4 linked regions of the Drosophila melanogaster genome follow. The protein of the gene in region 3 interacts with the protein of the main gene of each other region in a pairwise test. Each region holds a gene or a part of one and is shown on either strand. Other genes may lie near its edges.

The links.
Region 1: the proteins of Ent1 (region 3) and CG7272 interact in a two-hybrid assay, tested with the Drosophila melanogaster proteins (one large-scale study listed by BioGRID).
Region 2: the proteins of Ent1 (region 3) and EndoU interact in a two-hybrid assay, tested with the Drosophila melanogaster proteins (one large-scale study listed by BioGRID).
Region 4: the proteins of Ent1 (region 3) and CG16904 interact in a two-hybrid assay, tested with the Drosophila melanogaster proteins (one large-scale study listed by BioGRID).

The regions. Positions count from the first base shown.
Region 1 is NT_037436.4:15,499,318-15,504,286, reverse strand, and holds CG7272 (uncharacterized protein), read right to left. Parts: upstream 3,350-4,969; 5' UTR 3,197-3,349; coding exon 3,027-3,196; intron 1,451-3,026; coding exon 1,045-1,450; intron 980-1,044; coding exon 869-979; 3' UTR 518-868; downstream 1-517. Other genes in the region: CG7857 (uncharacterized protein), read left to right, coding at 1-68, 130-473; CG7275 (uncharacterized protein), read right to left, coding at 3,779-4,334, 4,391-4,969.
Region 2 is NT_033777.3:15,906,441-15,910,925, reverse strand, and holds EndoU (endoribonuclease U-specific), read right to left. Parts: upstream 2,529-4,485; 5' UTR 2,334-2,528; coding exon 2,207-2,333; intron 2,148-2,206; coding exon 1,988-2,147; intron 1,842-1,987; coding exon 1,636-1,841; intron 1,579-1,635; coding exon 1,346-1,578; intron 1,283-1,345; coding exon 1,040-1,282; 3' UTR 559-1,039; downstream 1-558. Other genes in the region: CG45105 (uncharacterized protein), read left to right, coding at 1-439. UniProt on the Drosophila melanogaster protein: Endoribonuclease that cleaves single-stranded RNAs at uridylates and releases products that have 2'-3'-cyclic phosphate termini. Preferentially cleaves single stranded RNA at poly-U sites with CU, UC and AU sites cleaved less efficiently.
Region 3 is NT_033779.5:355,019-359,471, reverse strand, and holds Ent1 (equilibrative nucleoside transporter 1), read left to right. Parts: upstream 1-1,597; 5' UTR 1,598-1,785; coding exon 1,786-2,049; exon of another isoform or gene 2,050-2,143; intron 2,144-2,280; coding exon 2,281-2,581; exon of another isoform or gene 2,582-2,634; coding exon 2,635-3,105; exon of another isoform or gene 3,106-3,159; coding exon 3,160-3,554; 3' UTR 3,555-3,907; downstream 3,908-4,453.
Region 4 is NT_033777.3:9,815,380-9,818,836, forward strand, and holds CG16904 (uncharacterized protein), read right to left. Parts: upstream 1,601-3,457; 5' UTR 1,579-1,600; coding exon 1,363-1,578; intron 1,291-1,362; coding exon 718-1,290; 3' UTR 549-717; downstream 1-548. Other genes in the region: CG9459 (uncharacterized protein), read right to left, coding at 2,123-2,692, 2,760-2,987.

The sequences.
Region 1 (4,969 bases), on a different chromosome or scaffold from region 3:
TATACCCTCCGATGGCGACTGCTTATATCAGTCCATCAGACACCAACTTATCGTAAATGCTCTTCCAGGTAATGCTTCACGATTCAGTCCACACAGCACCAAAACTAATCCATAATAATTGCACCAAAGGTCACAGTGTTCAGGAGTTGCGGGAGGAAACTGCCAATTATGTGCGTGCTCACAAGGACTCGCTTATCTCATACATGATCCACCCGGAAACAGGAGACATTCTGAACGACCAACAATTCGAACAATACTGCCACGACATAGCAAAAACTCACGCTTGGGGTGGCCACATAGAACTGAAGGCCATCTCATCGCTACTCCGGGTGCCCATTGAAGTTATCCAAGCGGAAGGAGCACCGACGCTCCTGGGGCAAGAGGAATTCGGTGGATCACCGCTGATCATCTGCTACCACCGCCACATATACCAATTGGGTGCCCACTACAATTCCACGGTGCCAGCAGCCTAAACGGGAAATGCCCAATGGCATTTACCATCAACTCACTCGATTTTGTAACAGATTGTTTTATTACATATTATGTTGACTTTATAAATACGTATGCATTTGGAAGATTTGAATTATTGTCAAAAATTGCAAGTATGTAGTAGTTATATACAATAATAGTCAATATAATAACAATTCTAGGTTAGCTAGCAACTTAGTTAGCTGGATTTGTTCTAAGAAAATATTTCCTATATAGAAAAATAATTCGTTTAGCTCAAATTTAGTTTTCTTGTGGCGGTTTAGTGTAAATTCAAGCAATAATTTGATTATTCCTCAAAGCCTAGCTACTTATTACTTGGTAATGTTGTTGCAACAACCCATTATTTGTCCTTTTTTCTAGGTAAAGCGTTCGATTTCAATTATTTGTCCTTCTTGCTGTCCTTGGGCTTCTCGGCAGCCGGTTTGTTGGGATAAATAGCGAACATGGAGAGCTGAATGCCGCCCAGGACCAGCAGCAAAAGGTTCTGCAGCTGAAATAGAAGAATTTTCGGTTCAAATTTACATTCTCGTTTAATAGAATTAATTGCTAACTTACCACCATCACAGTATTCTTGATGGAGATGGCATACAGCGTCCAGGAAAATGCCACCAGATTACCGGCAAAGATAATCGGGAACGGCATTCCCTCGGTGCTCTTCTTCTCAATGATTTTCGGCAGATGCAGCAGGGGAGAGCCCACCATCCAAACCAGGATGCCGGTGATCAGCATTCCCAGGCGGAACTCAATCTTGGCGGGATCCTCGAAGTTGGCATACGCGGTGATGGCCAATAGGAACACCGAGGAATAGCCAATCTGCTTCCAGATCTTGCTCCTGCTGGCGCTCGAGGCGTAGTAGTAAAATCCGAAGAGGAAGACGAAGTTTATCACCAGGCCGATTAAATTCGTATTGATCATGGCAGCATCATTCATAATGTTGGCCAGCTTCAAGCTGAGAACGGTCCTAGAAAGTTCAACAATTTGTTAATTAGTTACTTTAATTTAGGACAAAATTTGGTTTTTATATTTAAACAAAAATGTAATACTGTTACCATTCATATTCATTTTAAAATATTCTTCAATATAAGGCTGGAAATTTTATAAATTCCAGTTAACTTGTAGATAAGAGCATAGTTTTCTGAGGATATTATAATTAATTCAAATTAATTGACCCTGCCCGAACCAGTTTTCCAGCAGTAAGTCGCTACAGAAAGTTCGAATCAAGAGAAATGGAACTAGTTTTCATTTAAAGTGCTCCAGTCTACCACTTCATTGAAAAAAAAAACCAGTTTACACTTATTAATTGCGTTATCAGATTCTATACTAGGTGGAGATAGATAAATAAGCATAATAGGGCCGGCGTGCAAATCATGGTACACGTAGCATTTGATAAGGAGCTCAACGCTCAACAAATAATCAGCATTATCATCGATCAACCTATAAACAAACCCACAACAATGGTGAAATACACCCGGGCTGGGCGAAATGAAATGCAAACTGGCCGAGGAACCTGCCCTTGACCGAGACCTCGAGCGCCCATTGGGTGGAGTGGAATTCGTTTAGCATACAACTGTTGCTTCGCTTGCATGTCTGCGGGTCCTTACACTTGACACAGTCCAAGTTAACACCTTCCGGAAAACCACCCCCAAGTAAGCCCCGGCGCAGTGATGGCACACTCACTTGATGGTACTCATTCACTTGCTGCCATATGGCACTTTATGATCTTTTGAGATGTTCAAAACAAACAGTGGAAAGTTTACGATTTAAAAATAAAAAGGTAAATTCCTCGAGAGTTCATCTACATTTAGTGCTTTAGCCAGCAGGAATTTGGAATTGTTTAAAGAAATGTATTATTACGGAAACTATAGTTAAAAAAATATTATGTTTTGCTAAGCAAACACTATTATTCATATGCAGTAATGGACAAGCCTTACGGCTATAATTAGAGAAGATTATATTTATAGATGACAAGATATTCCCATCACCACCACTGGGTGGCCCACCCCCTTTGGAATCTGGGCAGCCCCGCTTTATGCCGAGCACGTGGAGAGGGCGAGTCGCGTATCTTTCGCCCGTCGTATAAACGATTAGCGGCTCTCCCAGATTTGGACAGACTCTACCGGATCAGCATTCGTAATAGAGGAGCTCTAAAATTATACACTCTAGATAAGAGCTACGTGTTTGGAGGGTTCTCGCATCGATAAGGCGGCAAAAGTGCTGCTGGCGGATTTTCGACAAGGTTAACGATTTCGAAATGTAACGGTCGCGGATGATCGAAGTGTAATTCCCATTTGGCCAACGCAGTGATGTAATCGATTCCATTGTTATCTTCTTGAATTGTGTGCAAAACCGATTCACTGGCGGCCTTGAAGAGACTCGATTCTGTGCTGTCATGGCGACAGTTCTAAAATTTAATCAATTCCCACACAGATGCGTTGGCTTTTGTTCTTTTCACTCGCTTTTCCTGCCCCCTGCCCACTAGTTTTTTTTTCGATGTCGCATGCAGTGGAGCATCACGGAATCCCAATTAGGTTACTTACAGCACCACTCCGAAGAGAAATGGGCCCACCGGGTAGACGTCGCTGCTACCCTTCTTGCGGATGTCGTTCATCAGAACCACTCCGGACAGAAATTGCAGGGTAGTTATGGTGCCGGCTACCTTGGCGATTAGTTCGCTGTGTGGCGCCAAGAGATCCCCCAGTGCCTCCATGATTTCAATGACTCTCAGTTGATGCCTTTCAAACGGGTTATGTGGGAACGGGAGGGGGGCCGAGTGCCGCGCGAGTATAAACAAATGAACGAAAACAAAAACTAACGACCGACTGGCGGCTGCCGTAACAACAAACGAACAAATACTGAGCACCAACGGTGGGGCTGGCAACCTTTTATAATCGAGAATCCCCTAGAAATGGACGCGTCTCTCCGATTTTCCCCAAACGTTATCGCCCGCGAGGGCTTATCGGATACGAATTGAATTTCAAATTTCCGCGAAACGTTGCTGCATGGCAAAGCAAATGAGTTTTCTCTCTAGAGCAACAGGAGAGTATTCCTTAGAACTTATCAACATCTTCTTTCTTCTAGTATCACTGAATTAAAGCCAAACAATAGTTTAAACTAAGCAAATTCACTGATAACTTCGGTTTGACTTGACCAAACTGAAAGTCACTTGAGAACAATGATAGAAAGTGAGAAACTCAATTGAGATTAGGCTTCTTAATATATACATACATAGTCTCCTTACAAAAATCAATTTTATTCAAACTTATCCAACTACAGTCGTTAGCAATCATCCTCACACCTCCTCCTTCAGCACATGCTTCTTTTTCTCGCTGACGTAGGGCACCTTCTTGCTCTTCTTGGTGTGCTTGCGCACATTGGCCTCCTTGACCTGCTCCTTCTCCTTGACCGTGCGCATCTTCTTCTGTGCATTGAGCACGTGACGCGGCACCTGGCGATGGCGCGCGATGCGCTTGATCTGCGGATGAGCGGCATACTTTTGCTTCAGCGCCTCCTGGTAATTGAAATTGACGCGCTCACGTGGACGGATGACGCCCAGCTTTTCGGAGGCATTCGCCTTCCACATGCGGACGTTCATTTCGTCGGAGCCGGAGAAAACGTATCGATTATCGAGGGACCAGGCCACGCAGACCACATGCTGCATGCGTTTTGTGTGGTAAATATCCCGCGAGTGACTGTGGTGGGCATTGTAGATCCGAATGGTCTTGTCGTAGCTGGCCGAGACGAATTCCTTGCCAGTGGGCGAGTAGTCAACATCGGTGACAGCGGAAACATGGTCAAAGTGAACCTTCAGCGGCGTTTGCAGCTTGCGAGTGTCAAAGGTATAAAGGCTGTAAGAAATAAAGATTTTAGCAACACATCCTCTTCGTATGGCCGTTTTACTCACTTGCAATCCTCGTTGGCCACTGTGAAGTTGAACGCCTCCATGGGATTCCACGCGAGCTTGTTGCTCTTCATGGTTAGGACGACCTTCCTTAGTGGCTGCGCCTCTCTCTGATCGTACAGGATAATGCTGCGATCGCTGGCACAGCACGCCAGGATGCTTGTTTCCACGGGGTTATAGGATATGGTGTGAAGGGTATCGACGCCCCACTTCAATGTCTTCAAAGGATCGTTGTGCCTTTCGTCCCAAATGGCGCATACCTCGCCACAGGTGGCGAACTTGTTATCCCTGCGATTGTGCGAGATGCCGTGCAGTCCAAATTTACTCAGTATAGTGTTCACCGGCACCTCATCCTCGCCGACTTCCGGAGCCTCTGCTTTCCAAACCTTGATGGTTTTATCATCTCCCACGGTGAAAATGCGACCTCCGTTCTGGGTGTAAGCAATGCCGCGAACGAAACCGTCGTGGGCCACAAAGTTCCGAGAGCTGATACGATTCGCCAAGTCCCAAATGCGCACTTCGCCGTCATAGGCGCCGGTGGCCAAGGTGGAAAGTTGCTTGGGATGCTTTCCGAAGCAGGAG
Region 2 (4,485 bases), on a different chromosome or scaffold from region 3:
TCAACAGCAGGAGCAGCCGGAACAGGAGTATCCGGAACGGGCCGACCACAATCGCGCCCGGGCAGTGGAGCTGTGGGGTCAGCAGCTGCGGCTGGAGCAGTCGCCGGCGGAAAATCCGCTGTGCCACAACAGCCTGCCGCGTCAGCCGCCGGCAAAAAGTAGCTGGAGTCCCGACTGCGAGGATCGCCTGACGCTGGAGTGCTCCATCAGTAGTCCCAGCCTGATGCGCTCGTCCAACGATGAAACCTGCTCGGAATTGGCCGATCTCAGCGAGACCTTTGTGGTCCTGGCTGAAAATGGTTCGGGGGAGGAGAGCTTGTCCCCGGCCCAGACCACCATCATCACAGCCAGAAGGTCGAGTGCACCGGCCGTGGTCCAGCAGGCGGACATTGCCAACGAGACCGTCACCATCGAGCGCCATCTAGATGCCCATGAATAGGGGTCAGCACCGAGTTCTCCAGCAACAGTTTCTTCAATCAACGTACTTCTACTCATGTGTTCCATAATTAAACGAAGAAGGGAAATTCATGTTTTATAACTAATAAATCCATTTTAAATAAGTTGATTTTGTTATTTTATTTTCAACTAGCTAGTTCAAGAGATTCAAAGGTATAAAAATTATAGTGGGTAGAATCCATTTCGAGGGTGAGCTTAATGACTGCATAATACTAAAACGTCACACTCACTTTTCCTCCTTTCGCTCCTTCAAAATAAACGCTTTTGCCTCTTGCATAATTTCCGCCAGTAATAACTATTAATGTTAGAACTAATAAACAACTTCGTGATGTAAGTGCTCTGCGCCACGCAATCCTGTCAAAACAACCAAAATGATAGGCAGATGGGCATTGTTCATGTCCTGACTGACATCCTCGTCAATTGCCAGCGACAACTGGGCCAAGCACTCATAAAGTGGCAAAATAAAATGAACTTGACTTTGAGCTTGGAGGTTAGCCTTTTGCTGATTTCGATGAGGTAACAGTGCGACCGAATCGAATGTCAGTAATTTGACTGAGGTTGCGAGATGGGTGGTTGGAGTGATCTAGGAGCTGTCCGGATAGACGGTTCCTATCAGGCGCATACCGTTCCATTTCCATTCGTGGGAGACAATCGTGGCGGAGGCATGACCCAACTGGATGTGGCAGGGTTCCTCCTTCGCCGTGGCCAGGAAGCAGGCGGTGTACAGGGCCATGTCCAGTTCGGGCGAGATGCCCACAAAGAAGCCGTTGACTGGCTTATTGATGTTGTGAAACGTGTAGCGAACGCTGAGAACCATTTGGTTGTGCTGAGGAAATATAGCAATCCCCTTTTGTAAGGATCATCTGTTACATTTGTCTTTAAGCCTTACCTTTCCCATTTCCTTGTGGTTCAGCCAGCCCTTGTAGTCCACATTGCCACGTTGCTCCTGATCTGCAAAGTACAGCCAGTTATGCAAGCCCAGGACCTTCTGGTCCCGAATCTCCGCCATGAAGACGTGCTCGAAACTGGAACTGCCCACAATGCCACGACCTCTGGAGTAGGGAGTGAACCACAGCTCCTGCAGCAGACGCAGCTGATCGTCATATTCTACGCTCACAATATCTAGATGGTATTGGATAGGTATACTAGTCTGATTTATTTCATTTAAAGGTTACTCACCCTTGTGTACCAAAAAACGCATGGTCAGCTTCATCACACGCGTACCCATCACGGCCCTAAGGAAATCATATTGCTCCTGGACGTGCTCCGGCGTTGGATGCTCCTGCACAGCCACGTCCAACTCGTAGTTGTCAAAGAGCCTCATTAGCAGAGCGGTGGTGGAGTTAGCATCCCTGGCCAGCAGATCCTGGTGCAATTCAAAGAGGCTGGAAGATTTCAAGAAATATGAAATAATGTTTATTAGACAGCTTTAGTATTTAATGAATTAATAATTATTTTAATTAAATTGCCTTATCATCAAATTAAATATTTTAATGATAAAATTCATTAGGCGGCGCAACTAGGTACTTACTTTCTAGGGGCGCGATCGTCATGAGCACCTGAAGTGGTCTTCCCCTGGAGATTCACCTTGTAGAGGTATGGACTGACCTCGGTCTCCTCCGCGTACAGATTCTTCGAGAGGGTCAAGACGTCATCCGGCGTTTTGGGCAGCGGCTTGCTGTGGAAGTACTCTAAGAGAAAAAACCGTTGTCCGTTCGCTTACGGAAGAGAGCTTAAAGAGACAACTCACCGTAGAAGTGCCAGCTCAAAATGCCAATGGTGATCAGCAAGCCTACGATCACAAATCTCTTTAGCTTCTGGCATTTGGCGCTGTCGATGTTGCTAGTGCTGTTTGTTTGCTGCTGCACTGCGTCCATTGTGATATAATTATCCAATTAAGATTAGTCAAACATTTGTTTTTGCGCCTCTGTTTACTTTCCCGATGCTCGCCGTTTATCTTCAGCCAAAACTCTCGCGTTGATCGAGTTTTATCTGCTCTTTCCGACCAACTACCTTTATGGCTGAAACGATACTGAGCGGGTTTGCCCCACTGCGGATCTGGCCGCTCATATGCTTGCTGAACACACAAGTAGTTCCCCCGAAAAATTGGATAACACGCTCTCCCTCTCCAATTATTTTCGTTTTCGGCGCTCTCTGGGGGATCATTGTTGTGGTTTGTTTTCACCTCGCGAGCAGCCTTTTGTTTACTCAGGAGCGGATTCGTTGGGCCCCCATGCCAAATTTCAAGTTTGAGGACATAAATGACAATGTGCAGCATATGGTATAATTTATGCGGCCAGTCAAAGTAGGAAAACAATTAGTTTCCTAAAGAAATAAAGCTAAGCCAAACGAATATAAATAAAATGTAACTGAAAAACTAATATTCTGTTTTACCTTGGATAATCATTTATATTTTAATTCATTTTATAAAAAGGTTTACAATTGAATCAGTCTTTAAACGTGCATGAATGAAACCAATTATTCTTTTCCACAATACTTCTAGTATCTATAGATATTTAAAATTCAATTCATATTTTTGTGGGAACATATGGCACGTGGCAAGCCTACTAATTTTTGGTACTTAAGGAATTTCATCCAAAGTCTCTTTTAATTACTAACATCGTGTCTTGAATCTCTCATCTGGAAGTACTAAACAAATAATTTAATCACGCACTTACTAATTTGTTTGTTTCAGCGAATATAGCGTCATTTGTATTAAAGTCTCGACTGTAATATAATTACTTCCAAATTGGGCTTAAACCATACTGTGTTTAACAAAAAAAACTTCAACAGGAAACTGTGACGTGATTTGAAAAAAAAATTGACAATAAATTGTGAACAAAATATTGTATAATTGAACACCTATAATTGCAGTGCGAAATTTTCTTAGGGCTTGATTTTTTTTTAATATCAACAAGATTTTACTCTTATATTGTCTGGACTGCAGTTCCTACAATTAGTTGAAAATAGTCTTTAAAACGTAAATACAATTAAATACATTGTCGCCAAAGATGGAATGACGAAAACCACATTAACTTTCACAATCTAATACCAAGATATCCATCATGCTATATTTAAATTAACCTTGATCAATATATCAATATATCAATATATTCAAGGCACGGGAAAACAAATAGCTCGTCACGAAAGGTGTAATTTGTTTTCAGTTTGCTTTTGGATTGGATCCACCTGGTAGAAGAATTCAGTGTACTAAAGGAGAGCTTTACAAATATTGTAATTTGATACATTATGTTTTGGATTAGCATTTGATTTATTCTTCACAGTGAAGCGAATTGTTTGCTTTGTTACAATCATCTAATATTTTCGAATACAATGTTTGCCTTTTTTAAGCTTAGGTATAGGTAAATTTGATTATCAAGGTTAGTTCTTTATACTTAAAGTAATTATGTCTTGTAGTCTAGCCGAAAACTGGATTTTGCTGCTTCTTTTAATCTCCTGACTCCTAAAACTCCGAAGCTTCAAAATTCGGAGCGCGCGTTTTATTGATTAGCTCAGTTCTAATGTTGTGACAAGCAGTCTCAGACAATATTTACCAAATCTTACGAAATGAATTCACGAAATGAATTTCAAGAAATATGAAATAATGTTTATTAGACAGCTTTAGTATTTAATGAATTAATAATTATTTTAATTAAATTGCCTTATCATCAAATTAAATATTTTAATGATAAAATTCATTAGGCGGCGCAACTAGGTACTTACTTTCTAGGGGCGCGATCGTCATGAGCACCTGAAGTGGTCTTCCCCTGGAGATTCACCTTGTAGAGGTATGGACTGACCTCGGTCTCCTCCGCGTACAGATTCTTCGAGAGGGTCAAGACGTCATCCGGCGTTTTGGGCAGCGGCTTGCTGTGGAAGTACTCTAAGAGAAAAAACCGTTGTCCGTTCGCTTACGGAAGAGAGCTTAAAGAGACAACTCACCGTAGAAGTGCCAGCTCAAAATGCCAATGGTGATCAGCAAGCCTACGATCACAAATCTCTTTAGCTTCTGGCATTTGGCGCTGTCGA
Region 3 (4,453 bases):
ATAAATTAATTAATTAATAATATTAATTTTTCCGATGACAATGTAAATATTAAGTGCATGTATCCCTCGTCAGCTTTCCTGCTAAACGGCGGCTGTCAAGCATTCCAGCCAACTGCCACTTGGATACCCAAAAAGCCAGAGATCTTTAGGAGGAAACCAGAACAAGATCACCTCGGGTGGTCGGAGGACGTCACTCAAATTGAAGTCCGGCAAATGAGATTTGCCCGGCACCGGAGTGTAGAGCATGCAGAGAGGGCGAATGGAATCCATATCCGCAGCCCAATCTTCATCATCTTCGTCTGCGAGTTGAAGTTGTTGGATTTTTAATTAAGCGTGGCCTGCACCCGAGGCTTTTCGTCGAGTAGCTCTTCGGGACACGGGAAGTACGGCGATCTCGGCGGAACAGGTCTTGTTAGTAATTTTTAATTTGAGCTCTTCTGACAGCCAGCTGTCATATAAATTTAATTGAATTTACATTTTTATTAATTGCCAAGTCTGCTAGTGAGCCCAGTCTCGATCTCGTAGTGCTACCCGTTGGCATGAATGGGAGATGAGTTGCTTAAGCCGACTGGCTACTCATCAGACCATCAGCCCATCCACATCAACATCCCCATCCACTTCCACTCTCTGAATGAATTTAATTTGAGATGATTTGTTGATGGTTTCGTTGTGGTGATTTCTTGCTGACTAATTTAATGTGATTTTTAAATTGCCAGACCGAGGCAGAGTGTGTGGCCTGCGCAGGGGAATCAGAATCTCATCGGGAGATTGATTGGGCTCATGGGAGTGGGGGCAGCGTTTTTACGGAATTAATGAGATGACACGCCTCTCGCTGGGATGCGAAACCCCCTCGTGATCATTATGAACTAATCTAATTTGCAAGCCCGCGATGACAATCGAAGACGGAAGAGAAGTCCCCTCGATCCTTGCCCACCTGGGCAACAGCGCTAACGAGGACGCTTCTCCTCGAAGGCCCCCTCCAGTTTAATTCGCAAATCAAACAACCGCAGGGCAGAGATCGGAAATTCGCGCATAAGTAAATTAAAAATAAATTTATGTCCCGACCAGTGAGGGGGTCAGGAAACGCATGTCCAGAGGGAAGGAGCGTGTGTTAACCGGTTTCGGGACGAACGCGAATGCAAATCCAATTAAAATTTCGCAAGCGATCAATGGGCGAGGGGTGGAGGGCGGATCGCATCCTGCGAATGGCGCTAAGCCGTAAAACGAAGCTGTGCGCTGATTTAAAACACTGCGGGGCGTGCTTATTGATTAAATACAAATTGCGTTCATTCATCATCAGCTCTAGGGTCTGCTTGATATTGGTGTTTTTATTGTTGCTGCTCTGGCTGGCAATTAAATTACGATTTGAGGTGGATGCTACGCTCGTTTTGCAAATAAAATCCAATTTCACAGTCCTCTAAAATATAGGACTAAGATGCAAAACTAAGATGCAGTTTGAATCCCATCACATTTCGCGCCAAGGGCTGCCAACCTGGGTGAACGGTTTTGTGGTGTTAGTGCGATATCTTAGATATTTTCATTTAATCGATTCCTCTCGATAAGCCATCGATATTTTTTGTATAATGTCTTGCTTTGTTGTTTACAAATTCGTTTTTATGTTACGCAGTTCGTCCGTGCTAAATGATACACATGAAAGTAAATTGCATCAGATTAAGTTACATCGAATACTTCTCCACAATTACAGATGTGAATAATCCGCCAGAGGTGTTGTAAATTTATGAATACCAAGGGCTGCGTACAAAACAGTAGTGCAATTCAGTGGCAATGCCAGGCACCAGTGACACACGACGACTGGTGGACGCCCTGGACGAGGATGACGAGATTCTGGGCACGGAGGGCAGCTTCGTTCCCGCTTTTCGTCCGCAGGACCACCATGCGGATGAGCAATGTCTCATGGAACGCCAGCAGGACGAGGTAGTTTTGGTGTCCAACGAACCCGAGAGTGGACGACTCTTCACCTACCTCGTGTTCTACCTGTTGGGCATTGGTACCATGACCCCGTGGAATTTCTTTGTGACTGCGGAAGATGTAAGTTTAACGAGTGGAAATTTCCGCACCCGCATCCTAGTCAATTTAACTGAACTTCGGACATATCAATTCCAAACAGCTGAACAACTGGGCCAAGCGCAATTCTAAGGCGCGGTGCTTATCAGCTTTGTCGTCGTTTCTTTACGACCCACACCCAGACGAAAACTCTCTTTTTTGATTTTCTTTGTTTTCCGCTGACTTACGCTTTAACCCTGTTCGCTTCTCTTTCAGTACTGGAAGTACAAGTTCCGGAATGCATCGATTAATAACACAGACCTGGAGGAAGAGCTCACCCCGTTGCAGAAGAGTTTTACCTGCGACTTGGCTCTCACGGCCACTATTTCTGGGACTACATTTCTGCTGCTAAACGCCATTTTCGGACACCATGTGTCCCTGCGCACCAAGATGTTAGGAACGCTGTGGATGATCCTCATCCTTTTCGGGGTTACAACTGGCTTCGTGGAGATCAACACAGACACGTGGCAGGAACAGTTTTTCCTAATCACTCTCATCATTGTAGTGCTGCTAAATAGTGGGTACCATGAAGTACTCCTTGAGTGTTTACTTAATATTTATTATATATAGTATCTGCGGCTACAATGTCGGGAGCCCTCTACGGAGTCGCTGGTCTATTTCCCTCCGAGTTTATCACCGCTGTGGTTAGCGGACAGGCTCTTGGTGGTATCCTCACAGCCCTGGCCTTCATTCTTGTGCTTGCATTCGACACGGGTCCCAATACCACTGCATTCATCTTCTTCATTGTGGGAGGAGTGCTCATCCTGCTTTGCATTGTGTGCTACGTAATCCTGGCTCGAAAGCCTTTCTTTAGGTATTATCTCGAAGGTGGCGACAAGTACAAGGTCATCCGGGCAGTGCCCTCGCACAACCGGAATGGAAGCGCTGAGGGCTTGCCGCTTGAGCCTATTTTGCGTCAGGTCATGTCGAAGATCTATCTGCATGCCATTTCCCTAGCGCTCCTCTATACCACGACCCTGTCTGTCTATCCGGCAGTTACAGTGCTTATGCAGTCAGAGTACGGCCACAGCGTGTGGACAGGTAAACAGAAAACCTATTCTTTTTGTTCGTGCCTCATATGCGGTGTTCTTACAGATGTTTATTTTCTGCCCGTCGTGAACTACCTGATATTTAACTGCGGTGACTATTTTGGTCGTCTGTTTGCTGGCTGGATGGAGCGACCATTAAACCAGAACACTTCGCTACTATTTATTGTAGTGCGCATGGCGTTTGTTCCGTTATTTCTATGTTCAAACTCCAGCGAACACAGCTTTCTGCCAGTTTTGGTAAAACACGACTATACTTTCATAGCGATGATGGTAATGTTTGCCTTGTCCAACGGATATTTTACGAACATACTACTTATAATGGCGCCTAAACGCGTAAAGCAGCATGAAAAGGAGCTGGCTTCGTCGATAATGGCAGCTGCTTTGAGCTGTGGCATGGCTGTGGGATCACTGCTCAGCCTTGTATTTGTTCAAATGCTTTGAATTAGCCAACAAAATAAGTCTGCCCATAGTGCCTTCGGGAGTTTCAGAATCTTAAGCATTATAGTGATAGTTAACTTGATATTGGTTGCTCTTCCAACTACTTAGGGGGTGTTAATGTTTTTACTTTTGTTACAAGTCTACTGACTGAAATTATTTACACAGCGAAATTTTATTTAAATTTTTTCCAAAACGAAGTGTTATTTAATATTTTGAGTTATTTTGATGCTGTGTGTTGTTTTCCAAATTTTACTCATTTTTTATTTTAACAAGTTTACTATATCGGGATGCCTAGATTTAAGGTTTAAAGTTTTCATTATATACTAGGAATAAGACGATATTAAAAAAATTAGAACAATTAATTTTTCTTGTTTAACGTTTATTTCGGGTTTTCTGTGGATCACAACAACAATGTGGATAGATTTTATTGGATTGCTTTTGTCATTAATCATTGAATTAATTAATGAACTCCATCGTAGCGCGGTCTGTGAAGAGTTGTGTTTAAAATATACTTAGACTAGAAATCTAGTGGCGAATTGTAGTATGTGCATATATCGAGGGTATACTGTACCTATAAGTACACAGCAACACTTAGTTGCATTGCATAAATAAATGTCTCAAGTGAGCGTGATATAAGATCACCCATTTATGCTTTAAGCTAAGTCAGCATCCCCACGCTGGCCGCTGGCCATATATGCGCATAAGCTCTCTCTCTCTCTCTCTCTCTCTCTCTCTCTCTTATACATATATATATACGCTGCTCTTCTGCCGCTGTCGACGGCGGCGCAGTCGCAGTATTTAGGTAAGATTAGACACTCTGTAGAGGTTAAGCGGGCAGAACCGTTTCTGCTACTCGAAGAGATAAGAAGAAATAAAAAGGTGGCCTGACGGCTGCACCCAAC
Region 4 (3,457 bases), on a different chromosome or scaffold from region 3:
TAAGGACGAAGGACCCGAAAAGCTAGTGCCCAACCAGGAACCACTGCACTTGACTGCGGCTTCGCTTTAATGTTGCCGCATGGCCGCAATTATTCAGCTGGCACTTTGACTCTGATTCGCCGCATGCGATTCCTATGCAAATTCGGCCGGCCACGGGTGACCCTTCCGGTGCCATAAATCGCCGGTGCTGGGCCAGGCTCGTTCCTAATATTCTAATTAAATGCAGCATGGAATGTCCAGAGACGTGCTCGGTCCAAGTTCTGCGGAGCATGCAGATCACGTGCCAAGGGGAATCCCCTCGATTCGACGATGGAAACCACGAGTAGTCGAGATGTGGCCGATGGGATTTATTCCGGACGGAGTCTAACTCCTTGACCTTTTCGACTGCATTTGAATTAACTGTCGATGCATTTGAATTCATCTATTATTCAAACGGCGCATATGCAAATTGTCGAGTACACTCAGAGAAACCAATGATGTATCACTTTATAATTCAAATTTAATTTAAGAAGCCAATGTATTGTAAAAGTAATAATAAAATATTTGTTGATTACAAATACATTCTTATTAAATAATACAAAAAAAAAACAGGATCAAAGGTGGGAATTTTATAACAAAAATTGTATGAAAGTTGGAAAGACACTCTTCATTCCTATGCACCCCAATAGTTATGTACATACGAATTACCAGTTTTTGATCACAGTGTAGCAGGTGCATTCAGTTGACCTTGCCCTTGGACTTGACCTCTTTCGGCCGAATGTAGGTCTTTATGTAGAACTTGGTGAACATCAGAAACATGAAGGCGCTGGCCGAACTTATGACATAGATGACACCCCGCGACGCCGAGCAGTTTGGCTGGAAATAGGTGTACATGCAGTGCAGGAACATCAGGAGGAACTGCACCAGCTGGCCCAGGGTAAGGTACTTCTTCCACCAGAGGCTCTCCTGCACATTCTGGCTCTGCGACGAGGCGTAGTAGTAGCCGTACATGACGATGTGCACCAGAACATTGAACATGCAGATCAGGAAGACATGGCCACCAAAACCGTAGAATCGGATCAGCATGTGCGAGGTGAAGACCATGAAGACGTGATGGAACACATGGAGGAACGTGATCTGGCGCTGCTTCTTGCGCAGCACAAAGAATATGGTGTCCATCAGGTCGAGCACCTTGTTCAGATGGTACATGTACGACAGTGTCCTTTCCGTGGACTTTAGCTCATGATCCTGCGGCAGGACTTGCATGCAGCTCAGGTTGTACGGCTTCTGCACGAATAACAGATGGATGCCCTGGGTAATATGGAGCAATCCATTGAAAACGATTAAAAAACTGTGTATATCGATATCCTTCGACTTACGTACCCACACAAAAATCACCGAATTGAACAGGACTTGTCCGATGTTGTAGAACTTGAGCACACCTCGCAGCTGGAGTGCCTCATGCTTGTCCATCAGCTTCCTGCCCAGCTTGAGCACAAACAATAGATACACCGTGATGATGATCACCGAGGTGCGGATACTGCCCGCCAGCGGCAGCTGGACAGGATCGGCGAAGGGCTTATCGAACACCTCGAACATTTTCGCGCACGACTTAACGAGTGACTTGACTTTTACCTTCTGTGATTTCTTTCTTTCACGATAGCCACTATACTATTACCTATTTGCTAATTACATTAGTGCAAATTTCCGGTATGTTTAACCCACTATCAACCTTCAACTTGAATACTTAAAGCTTTGCAAATCGAACTAAATACAATATAAGTAACAGTTCAACTACGTTTTTATTTTCAACATTTTATTAATCAGCAGTGCCATTATTTACAAAATTACTCCTTTTGACATTATTGTCAATACAACAAAAAAAGTGTTCTACATTTATAAAATACTGGCGAGACCCAATTAAAGGGGTATTTTGCATATTTAATAGCATTAAGCAGTCGAGTGGATAGAGAGTTCTAGAAACCAACAAATATCTCCCATTGCTTTATGTAAAATATATATCTATGTATAATATACGATATATACAATGATATAAAACAAATGAATTTGTTGTATCAAAAGCATTTATTAATGACATTGATTAATGTAAGGAACAGTGATATTAAATCTTAATTAGTTTTGCTCATCGGCCCACCGCCGATTTCGTTTTCTTGGGAAGAATGTAGGTGCGAACGTAGAAGTTACTAAATAGAATTATAAATACTACAGATATCAGTGAGCCCCAAGTTGCCGATAATCGTGATGTTTGACAATCAGTTTGCCGGAGGATATAGACGCTGTGCGAGAATATAATAACAAATTGGACAAGCTGAACGACTGTGATGTATTTCTTCCACCAGAGATCGCCACCCGAGTTCCGATTGAGGGACGACTGGTAGTAGTAGGTGTACATCATGGTGTGCACCACCACGTTGAAGGTGATCAAGAAGAATCCATGGCCGCCGTATCCATAATAATACATGTACAAGAAGCCTATGTACACCATGTATACGTGGTGGAAAACGTGCAGGAACGATATCTGGCGATACTTCTTTCTGAATATAAAGAACACAGTCTCCAGCAGATCCATGAGCTTGTTGAAGAAGTAGGAGTAACTGAGCCAACGCTCCCAGTTCTTGTACTCATGATCCAACGGCAGATTGGATATGCAACTGAAGTTATAGTTGCCAGGACCAAGCATGAAGTGCACACTCTTTAAATTTGGAGATACATATAATGAATATTAATATATTTTTGTTAAAAAAAAGAGCATTACTTACAAATATTAACAAAATGACATTGTATGCGATTTGCACGATGTTGTAGATCTTGATAGCTCTATCCAGATTGTAGGGCTTTTGATTCTGCATAAACCAAGGACCCACTATTTTTATGAAGACTAGATAGATTCCAAGGATGGTCAACACCGGCCAGTGGCTGCTGGTCAACGGAAGACGCACAGGATCCGGTGGCGATCGATTCAGGAAGTCCAGCATATGGGCAAACATGTCGGATATCTAAGTGTTATCGACGTCGGTGGAATAGCGACTGATGTGGACTCCGGCCGAGAACCGAGAAATGGTAATCTGCTCGTTTTCGAGGCTGATTTAAGTGTGTGTTTCTATTATACAAATACCTACATACGTAAGTAAAACCTATTACGCCGACCATATAAGAGGGTATTGCGGTCACAAAGTAAGGAAAATAGGTTTCCATCGCTTGGAATGCCGGATATGTTGAACATCCACTGTCCCCTGGTTACGAAAGGTAAAATAATGGCATTCGTATTTAGTTTTTAATGTAGTCCAGTTTTAAATGCAGTCCAGTTTTTAATGCCTTTTGACGTAATAACTTTAACGTATTCTAAGATCAATCGATTTTATATAATTCTAACCGTGTCACTTCTAATGAAGTTTACTTACACTTTGTTTGATATTGATATTTTCGTAGTAATAGCATACAATTTCGGGCAAAGTCT